2 linked regions of the Nothobranchius furzeri genome follow. The protein of the gene in region 1 interacts with the protein of each later gene in a pairwise test. Links are inferred from orthologs where the notes say so. Each region holds a gene or a part of one and is shown in the gene's direction. Other genes may lie near its edges. The genes, in order: dlc1 and rasa1a.

What was found.
Region 2: the proteins of dlc1 (region 1) and rasa1a interact in binary tests that used the Homo sapiens proteins (3 or more experiments, as listed by UniProt). The link is inferred for Nothobranchius furzeri from reciprocal best matches to the Homo sapiens genes DLC1 and RASA1.

Annotation. Positions count from the first base shown.
Region 1 is NC_091746.1:77,703,100-77,707,462, reverse strand, and holds the start of dlc1 (rho GTPase-activating protein 7), read left to right. Parts: upstream 1-1,515; 5' UTR 1,516-1,744; intron 1,745-2,413; 5' UTR 2,414-2,480; coding exon 2,481-4,274; intron 4,275-4,363. UniProt on the Homo sapiens protein: Functions as a GTPase-activating protein for the small GTPases RHOA, RHOB, RHOC and CDC42, terminating their downstream signaling.
Region 2 is NC_091757.1:43,358,078-43,362,422, reverse strand, and holds the start of rasa1a (ras GTPase-activating protein 1), read left to right. Parts: upstream 1-1,423; 5' UTR 1,424-1,654; coding exon 1,655-2,202; intron 2,203-4,345. UniProt on the Homo sapiens protein: Inhibitory regulator of the Ras-cyclic AMP pathway. Stimulates the GTPase of normal but not oncogenic Ras p21; this stimulation may be further increased in the presence of NCK1.

The DNA of each region.
Region 1 (4,363 bases):
AATGTTTCAAGTGCACATTTATATTGTTAGTTTGACATCCTCTTTTCTAGAGAAAATGTCACATTGAACCTGTTTTTGTGGCATCAGCTGCATTTATTTACAATTTAGCCATTTTCTTCCAATCAGCACCCCCAAGAAATGGCTAAATTAGGTGATTTTTATTTTTTTGTATCACCTTAGCCTCCTTTAACGAGGTCCTTCAACGAAAAACCATTTTTCCGTAATAATTTTGAAAATGATCGATCACTCTGAGATTAACATGGTGAAACTAGTCTCCTGCATTAGGTTCTGAAAGAAAATAGATGAAAAAACCTCAAGTCTTTGAAAATCCCAACAGATCTACGTCACATTGTCACTTAACGTTCATGGACTCACCCATCTCGGCTTACGAAGGGGAATGCTGTTGTTGGTTTAACGTCCAGCAAACGGCAGAGAACGTCTCAGATAGTAGGAGCTAACAGTTAGCATTAGCAACTCCACCACACAGCAGAACTCCTCCAGGCTTGCGTTATTTGCGGAGATAAAACATCAGCGTTGCGAAGAAAACAGTCAGTGGTAGAGTCACGATGCTGTTAGCCAATCAGAGGCAAAATGTCCAAATATCAGAAAATAAGACTCCGAATCTTGTTGTCTGAAGCTTTCCTCTGATCTGGCTCACTTCTAGTTCCTGAAACAGGTGCGTCAGAGCTTTACTTCCCTAGAGCACTACTTACAAGCATTGAGTCCTACCAGAGACCACTTGTAAAGTTGTCCTCATTTTTCAAACAACACTTTATAGCAGAGATAAACCTTTGACAACATTTGTCAAACGTGTCCTCAGATTATCAGCAGACAAGTCTCGCCCTGCATAGTTTTCTTCGTTGCCAGTGTGTTTGGTTAGGAATACTTGTACCGTTACAAGATGACAAATTGGAAAAAAAGAAAGAGGGATAAAAGCAGGTTTTTGGATGTAGCTGCCAAAACATTAGAGCAATCTCTGCTGGCATGAAGCCAGAAATCTTACGAGGCAGCCAGTCTGTTACCAATCTAAACCAAACTGGTGGGAGCCTTGCCCAGTTAGTGGAGCAAAAGCAGAAGGAAGAAAGAAAAACTGAGAAGAGGAAAGAAAACACGTTTAAGAAGGGGATAAGCGTTGCCTTCTAAGCATCGAGGAAAGATTGTACGTTAGAGAAAGTTGGCACGGATACGAGTTTAACTTGTGAGACGGGGGCTGGGGTTCCTGTGATGTGAATCACACTCCCTGTCAGAGGCAGCAGGGAGGAGACCAGATGAGCAGAGAGAAGGGGTGGAGTGGGGGAAAAGAAAACCCAGCCTCTCTTTGCACCACCTCCACTCTTCGGCATTCAGTGTCAGCAAAAAGCCTAATGTGATCAAGATGGAAGTGGTCCACGGACTTTTCCCGGCTTTCTGCCCGGCTTTAAGGCTTCACAGCTGGTTTAGAACGGAATAGACAGACTGGAGTCTTGAAGACGAGTCACACATTTAAACTAAAGCACTGATTTCATCGTGAACGGGCACTTGGAGAGACTCGAACTCGCATTTTACGCATGTGAACGAATTTCATCTGACTGATGGAGAAGAGGCCAACCTGCAGAACATCTCTGGACTTTGTGCTCGTTTCCTGGAATATTTGTTCAGCTGCTGGATGATCACAGTAATCTGATAGTGGATTATAATTTAAGCTGTGGTTGTTGGAGGATTTACAGAAAGTAAATAGCATTCCAGTGTGACGTACGTGATGAAAGTAAGTTCTGCTGTCAGCTGTTGGTTTTGGGCCAGCTAGCGAGAGAAGATCCTCTTCGGCTCTTCTGCTTTCTAAGAATTTGTTTTTGGAAAGCAGCTCAGCGTGGATCCAAGTGAAACCCTTTTTGATTTCAAGCTATGATGTTAAAAAGGAGGTTGTTACTAGTTACACACATGTTAAGTCCTTCCCGTGAACCAGGTCTAATGTAATCCTCATTTTAAATGTAAAATTTACATTTAATGACTCCCTGTATTTTTCTTTACTTCTGACTTTTTCATATCTTAAATGATGCGACTTTTGCATCATGAGTACTTTTCTCCCTGTTTCATTGGGTAAACAGGAACAACTTATTAAGTTTTGATGACGATCTTGTTAATATAGCTAAAAAATGTCCTTTCTCCCATGAAGATGCTTAGCTGTTATTGCTTTATGTTTAGTTGATGTGAAAATCTGAATGACACAGCTTGAAAATACATTTGTTTCCAACATGAGATCATTTCAGCACGAGTTCTTGATTGAAACTGATCCAACCGACTAATTGCCACCCTCTTGCTCTTTCACCCACAACTTCCTGTCAGCAGGAGAAGCAGATTATTTACCACGTCTTCATCCTTGAATTCACTTCCTGTAAACTGACATTTCTTACTCTGGTTTCTCCTTTAATTACAGCAGATCTGGTTCTCTGATCGAGCCCGGCTTAAACGGCAGCTCCATTGGATAGAACTGGGTTTCCACCATGCTGGTTGCCATACGGAAAAGAAGCTGGGAGGAACACGTGACTCATCCATCCGGCTTGAAGTACAGTTATGATGATCTGGATCTGGTGTGCTGTCATGGAGCTGACAGTGAGGGGGTTTGGATTGACTCGGGAGCTCTGAAGCAAGGTCGCCGGATGAGATGTGCCTCTATGCCAGAGGGCAGCCAGGTGTCCACGGAGGGCGTTGGTCAGACATCTCTAAAGGCAACTTCTGTTGTTGATGATGTTGCAGAATCAGAACCTTTAAAGTTGGGAGGAAACACCTCCCTGGATTTGCAAGAGTCGGTTTGTGAGTCTCGTGAGTTGTTGGGGAACGAAGTCTCAAACATTCCCTCGGACCCGGAGCATCTCCCAACCGCTTCTGGAGTCTGCTGCTACTCCAACGATCAGCTCTCCGGTGTTAATACCCCGCACACAACTGATCCTCATGATCGGACTGAGACAACTCTTTATTACGAAAGTGACACTGGCACAGAATGTAGCCAGAGTCACATCTGCAGTGACGACATTGTCTTTAAAAGCCAACACGTCTCCGACGAAGAGCAACAATACATCTCTATCTGTTCAAACAAGGAGCCTCCATTGTCCGGATCTGCGGGTGAACGGCCTGGCAGCCTTCCAAACTATCAGGCGACAAAGGAGAGCCATACAAAGGGTCACAGCAGATCCCCTGGAATCTCTGAGGCCACACTGAACTATTCCTCGGCTGCCGAGCTGGAACCTCAAACTCATTGCCCAGATGTTGCTGAAGGAACCGTTTCCACTTCGGAGCGACCTGTTGCAGGAGGACCTGTTCTTGCGCAGCAAGAATCTGCTAACAAAATGGAGGGTAGCAATGCAACGTCACTGCCAAACGAATCCTTTAAACCGGTTGTGACCATTTCAGAGGATGGAAAACATGACAAAGTCTCAGCTCACAAGCTGGATGGACTGAATAAAAATGAAAACACAGGACTGAGCCATCACTCAAGAAATGCTCAAGGGCAGAGGGATTATTATCAACCCACTGAGGGGTTGAATCAGGGTAATTGTGAAATATTTTGCCAAACATTGACAGAGCAGCACAATGTTGAAACGACAGCAGGGAGCTGGCCTCATGGTGGGGAAAGTTCACAAGAGGAGAGGAGCGAGGACGCAGCGCATGTGAAGCAGGAGCTCGCTGACACTCTGGATGCCAGAGGTAAAAACCCGAGGAGCTCTTTGACAGAAAAGCAGCTTGTAGCTGGATATACAGAAGCAGATGCCATGCAGACAAGCACTGTTCGACGTGAACATCATCACGTGAAAACAAGTAAATCAACGGAAAGCACGGATCAGGGATTGTTAGCTGACGAGGAGCATCCTACGGAAAATGACAGTTCCAAACTGGAGACCATCTTAGAGATCAGCATTTTTGAGGTCAAAGAAACCGCTTTGCAAGAACCTCTAAACAATACAGATGTTCATTTTTATGACTCCCTTTTGGGTGATGGACTCGGGACTACTGAGCAACAAGGGGAGAGCCTGCCGACAGACTCTAAAGAGGTCAGCCAGGAGCACCGTCACAACCAAACCTCAGACCATTACATCCATGAGTCACCGGCTTCAGGGGTTGCAGATGGTCACAGCGAACACCACAGGCAAGGGGAACCCATGGTTTCTGCAATGGAGGAGGTGGATGGTACCTCATCGTCAGCTGTTAACGACACACACATGTCCGGTTCAGGTTTCAGTGGAGCACACGAGTCTGGAGATCAGAAGGAAGATAGCACAGTCAAAGTGCGCATGAGGAAGGTAAGACCAAATATGATGAAGTTGTAGAAACAGTAGCAGCTCTGGTTACTGTAGCAACTGTGATTGTGAAGCCACACGTTTGTCAAAGC
Region 2 (4,345 bases), on another chromosome or scaffold:
CATGAGTTCATAAACTTAAAGTTGAGTGAGGTGAGAGAAGAAATGGACATGTGAATATAATTTCCACTTTTACAGCAGCTGCCTGGGGGCATGACTGGAAATGGGTGGAGAATAACAGTGACCCACAGATGATTGTCTGGAAATGACAAATTTTCTTTCTAATCTGTATAAAAGCCAAGAACCGCCACTTGAACCACTGCTTTTTTGAGATTATAAATTAACTGTCTTATTATCATGAGATAGCCAAGATCATCCTCATGGGATAATGGGTTGATGTGGTTGTAATGATCAATAAGTGAGTTTTGCTGATAATTTGGAAAAACAAACAAACATTGTCTGTCGTCATGACAAAAAGCTCCATTTATGAATAAAAAATAACAAAAATACAAGATTGGAGGAAAAAAAACCTACATTTTATACAAAAGTGAGGATTGATTTCTCAACAGAGGAGAACAATCAACTAGTGATTACAAGATAATGTTTTAACATTTTAAATGAAATTCTAAACATTTACTATACATCAAGTTCATTAGAGGAACATTGGTCCATGTCAGGGATGCCCAAACTTTTCAAGAAGATGGCCTATTGGTTAAAACTCCTCACGGGCCAAAAAAATTCAACAATATTTTTAAGAATTAAAACATTATTTAATATTTTTTATTTGTTCTGCTCAAAAGGGCCTATATATATATATATATATATATATATATATATATATATATATATATATATATATATATATATATATATAGTACAATTTTTTACATTAAATATTAAAATATATCAATTGATATGAACATCCACCTGGGGAGACCCTTTGTGATTTTTCCTATTGTACAACGCAAAGCACTTTTTTGTGTTTTTGTTGATTTACCAAGACAATCATCCAGTTTTTAATCAAGTTCACAAAAACGATTGACGATGGCATGGATCAGCGTCGTTCCGCTCTTTGTTCTATTAGCTGCGTCTGCTCGGTGAGTGGAGCCGAGTCCGACGGAGGAGAGAAAAGCAACGGAGCACTGAAGTGGAGTAGAAGCTACCACCCCTGAAAATAGAAGCGAACTTAGCCAGTGTACTTAAGGAAAAAAATACTTTATTCAGTAGAATTGTTGTTTTTATAGAATGGCGAATCATTCCAAGAATGTAATAGACAAGGTTCGATTGTTTGCGGTATCTTGTTGAGACACCGAACTCGGAACGAAAGAAAACAACAACACTGGAAAAGAGACGGGATTACGCTCAACAGTGACAATAAAACAAGACTCGTCGACAAGTGGTTTGTCTGGTGCTGAGGGTGAGGACCCAAAATATACGTAAAAATCTGAAAACAAACATTCGAGAAAATGTACGCATGTTAAATTTTTAACTAGCGTTCATATGTGAACTTTAAACACAGGAAACAATGAAAACCTAGCCAACAAGAACTCATCAAGTGTTTCAGAGCTGCTAGTGTTAGCTCGGCTGTCTTGTGGCGAGCGAATGTGTTGTAAAGCTAAGTTAGCTGTTGGCTAATGTTAGCCGTCTAGCTAGTCGCGGTTTTGGGAAACTTTTTCGTGTTGTTCCTCCGTAGCCCGAACACTGACGGAATAGTCTGAGAACGGAGGGGAAGGGCAGGTTCCCTTCTGGACTTTTTCCCCTCTGCGTAGTTTTTAACATGATGGCTGCAGAGGTCAGCAGTGAAGACACGAGTTCGGTCACGACAGGGACAGGGGTGGCAGGCGGAGGAGGAGGCCCCGAGACGGCCCCTTTCTCCCTCTATCCGAAGTCGAGCCGAGTGCGAGTGAGTGATCCGGGACCAGGGCCAACATCGTCAGCCGTTCGGCAGCATTCAAACACCTCTCCGGACTCACTTTCTGTCATTAATGTGGGCTATCCCATGCATGGTGGGGATATGACGGGACCAGTGTTGCCCGCACCAGGGAGTAGCGGAAAAGAAGGTGGACATTATGGTTTTCTAGGAACAAACTCCGGGACAGTGGGCGGCATGTGCTACTCTTCTAACTCGGAGGCACCAACTAGCCAGATTTCACCCACATCATCAGGTCCGGATGACCCCGCTCTCTTTCCTCCACTGCCGCCACCTCCTGCTTCTTTGGGCTGCGGGGGTCTCGGCGGCACCATGGATGAAAGCGACATACAGGATTTGCCGGAACAGGATGACGACGAGGTGGAGTTTCCGCTCTCTGCACCTCCCACAAACCAGTAAGTAGCACAAGAAAAACGACGTCCTGTTCATTGGAACTTAAAAACTACAATTTTAAAGTATCCTGTAGTTTTTAAGGCTTCCTTCCTTCCTGCTGTTGTGCTCCTGACGTGTGCAGAAGCGTATGTTTACTTATTTTCTGCCAAAAGTTGGTGTGGAAACTATATATTTTTGCACCCAAATATTTCTTTTAACTTTTAGTTTTGCATATCAGAAACAAGACTCACCCAAAACAAAACTAAGCAGTCCAGATGATCCAAAAAAGCATAAAAGATTCATGCAATTGTAATTTTTATATTAAAACTTTTAGACATTTTGATAGTAGCATCCAGCAGGGGAAAAGGCTCTAGCATATTATGCTTCATTCATTTAGCCTCACTTGTGTCTCAATCATTAACTGATATTTAGTGATTTGCAATTTAGCTTAATATGATGAAAAATAGCATATTTATATAATCACTGATGCAGAAATGTAGCCATTTCGGTTTGGGAGTGGCTTTTGATATCTGCATATTAATAAACATGATAAGTAGACATTTACATCCAAAGAGTTGAAACAGTTGCTATAAAGGAAAGAACCAGCAAACGACAAAAAAAAAAGACTATCAATCATTCAGAAATCAACATTGAAAGGGAGATCCGGCATTACAACACTGCTTATCATCGCATTCTGGAGGCCACACTTTTAAAGAACACTTTAGGCTCCTTACGTTCAACTAAATTATTACTCAAAGTTTCTTTAATTTACCAAACAAACTAGAGGAGGCAGACACCAAGCTGTCACAAAGCAGGAGTCATGGCACTGACCTGTTTCTGGTCTTGTTTCATTTTTCTACGTGGCTTTATCTCCATGTTTTTTCAGGCACAGCGCTTTGATGTTGACCTTATTTTGTTAACTACCAAGTTTTAAATGCTCCTATGCTGTGCACTTTCTTAGCCACTTAATTTTTAAGTAAATTAATTTGATCACACTGTGGGCTCTTCTGCGATTCTCATGGTGGCGTCCTCTGTTATCACAGTTTATAATTGATTGACTCATCAAATAGCCAGTGGAATTGGAAAAACAGCAAAGTGTCATGTGGAACCCTCGTGGCTTGCTTTTGCAAACTGAGTAAGAATGATTGTGATTGGTGGGGCAATCCACGCAGTGTGCCAACAAACCACATGACGTCTAAACGTGTCCTGCACGAATATATCGCCCCTCTTCATTTTTTGGACTGACAAATATCGCTTGGAAAGTTTTATATATATCACCCCAACCTTAAAATACAGCCACACTGTCTTTTTTGTACTATTGCATATGCTTGAATACCCAATACATTTTTTTACAAACTTTGTGTCTTATCAATAATCTATACATATACAAATGCTTTATCTGTTACATTAGAAGTAGAAATGGTTTTCCAAGAAAAAAGCCTTTACTTTGTTTGCACCATTGTTTACTGAAGTAATCTTTGAAGTCCTTCAACAAAACAGACTAATTAAATTAGGTTTTTATTTCAAGTGTAAGGTATTTGCAAAGCCTTTTTGATTCCAGCATCAGATCTGCAGCGTTGGTATGCAAACAAGCACATGTCAAAATCCATGCACATGCTAGCACTTACAGACTCTAAATTCATCCCTCCCATTGGTTTCAGCGTCATTAGAGAACTGCTGAGCTCTCCCATTTTTAGCTCATTTTGTGAAATATGGAAGTGACTGTGGATTCAGCTCTTATTTAAGAGCTACTCTATATCTCACTGTCAGGCTGCAGAGGAGCTGGAAGGCCAAGCATTTTACCAATCTTGTGTGTTGTTGCTGCTGTTGACTTTTGTCAAAGGTTTACAGACTTTGTGGGTTAGTACTAGTTTATCAGTTTGCTGCCCTTCACAAGGCTTAGTGAAACAACATTGTTTTAATTTAGAAATATGAGAAAGTATGTCAGTATCAATGTGAATTCTTCATAAAGTGATGAAGCAAATGACTCATCCCAGGTCTTTAGCTGCAACTCAGGCTCATTTAGACCCTTTATTAAACTTCAGCAAGACCCAAAGAGGTCACACACATTTTGTTTTTTGCTTTGTGACTTTTTTGCTGCTGTTGTGGTGATGAATAAGACTGAACCACATCTATTTTAAGATATTTAGTTATCAGTGAGCTATG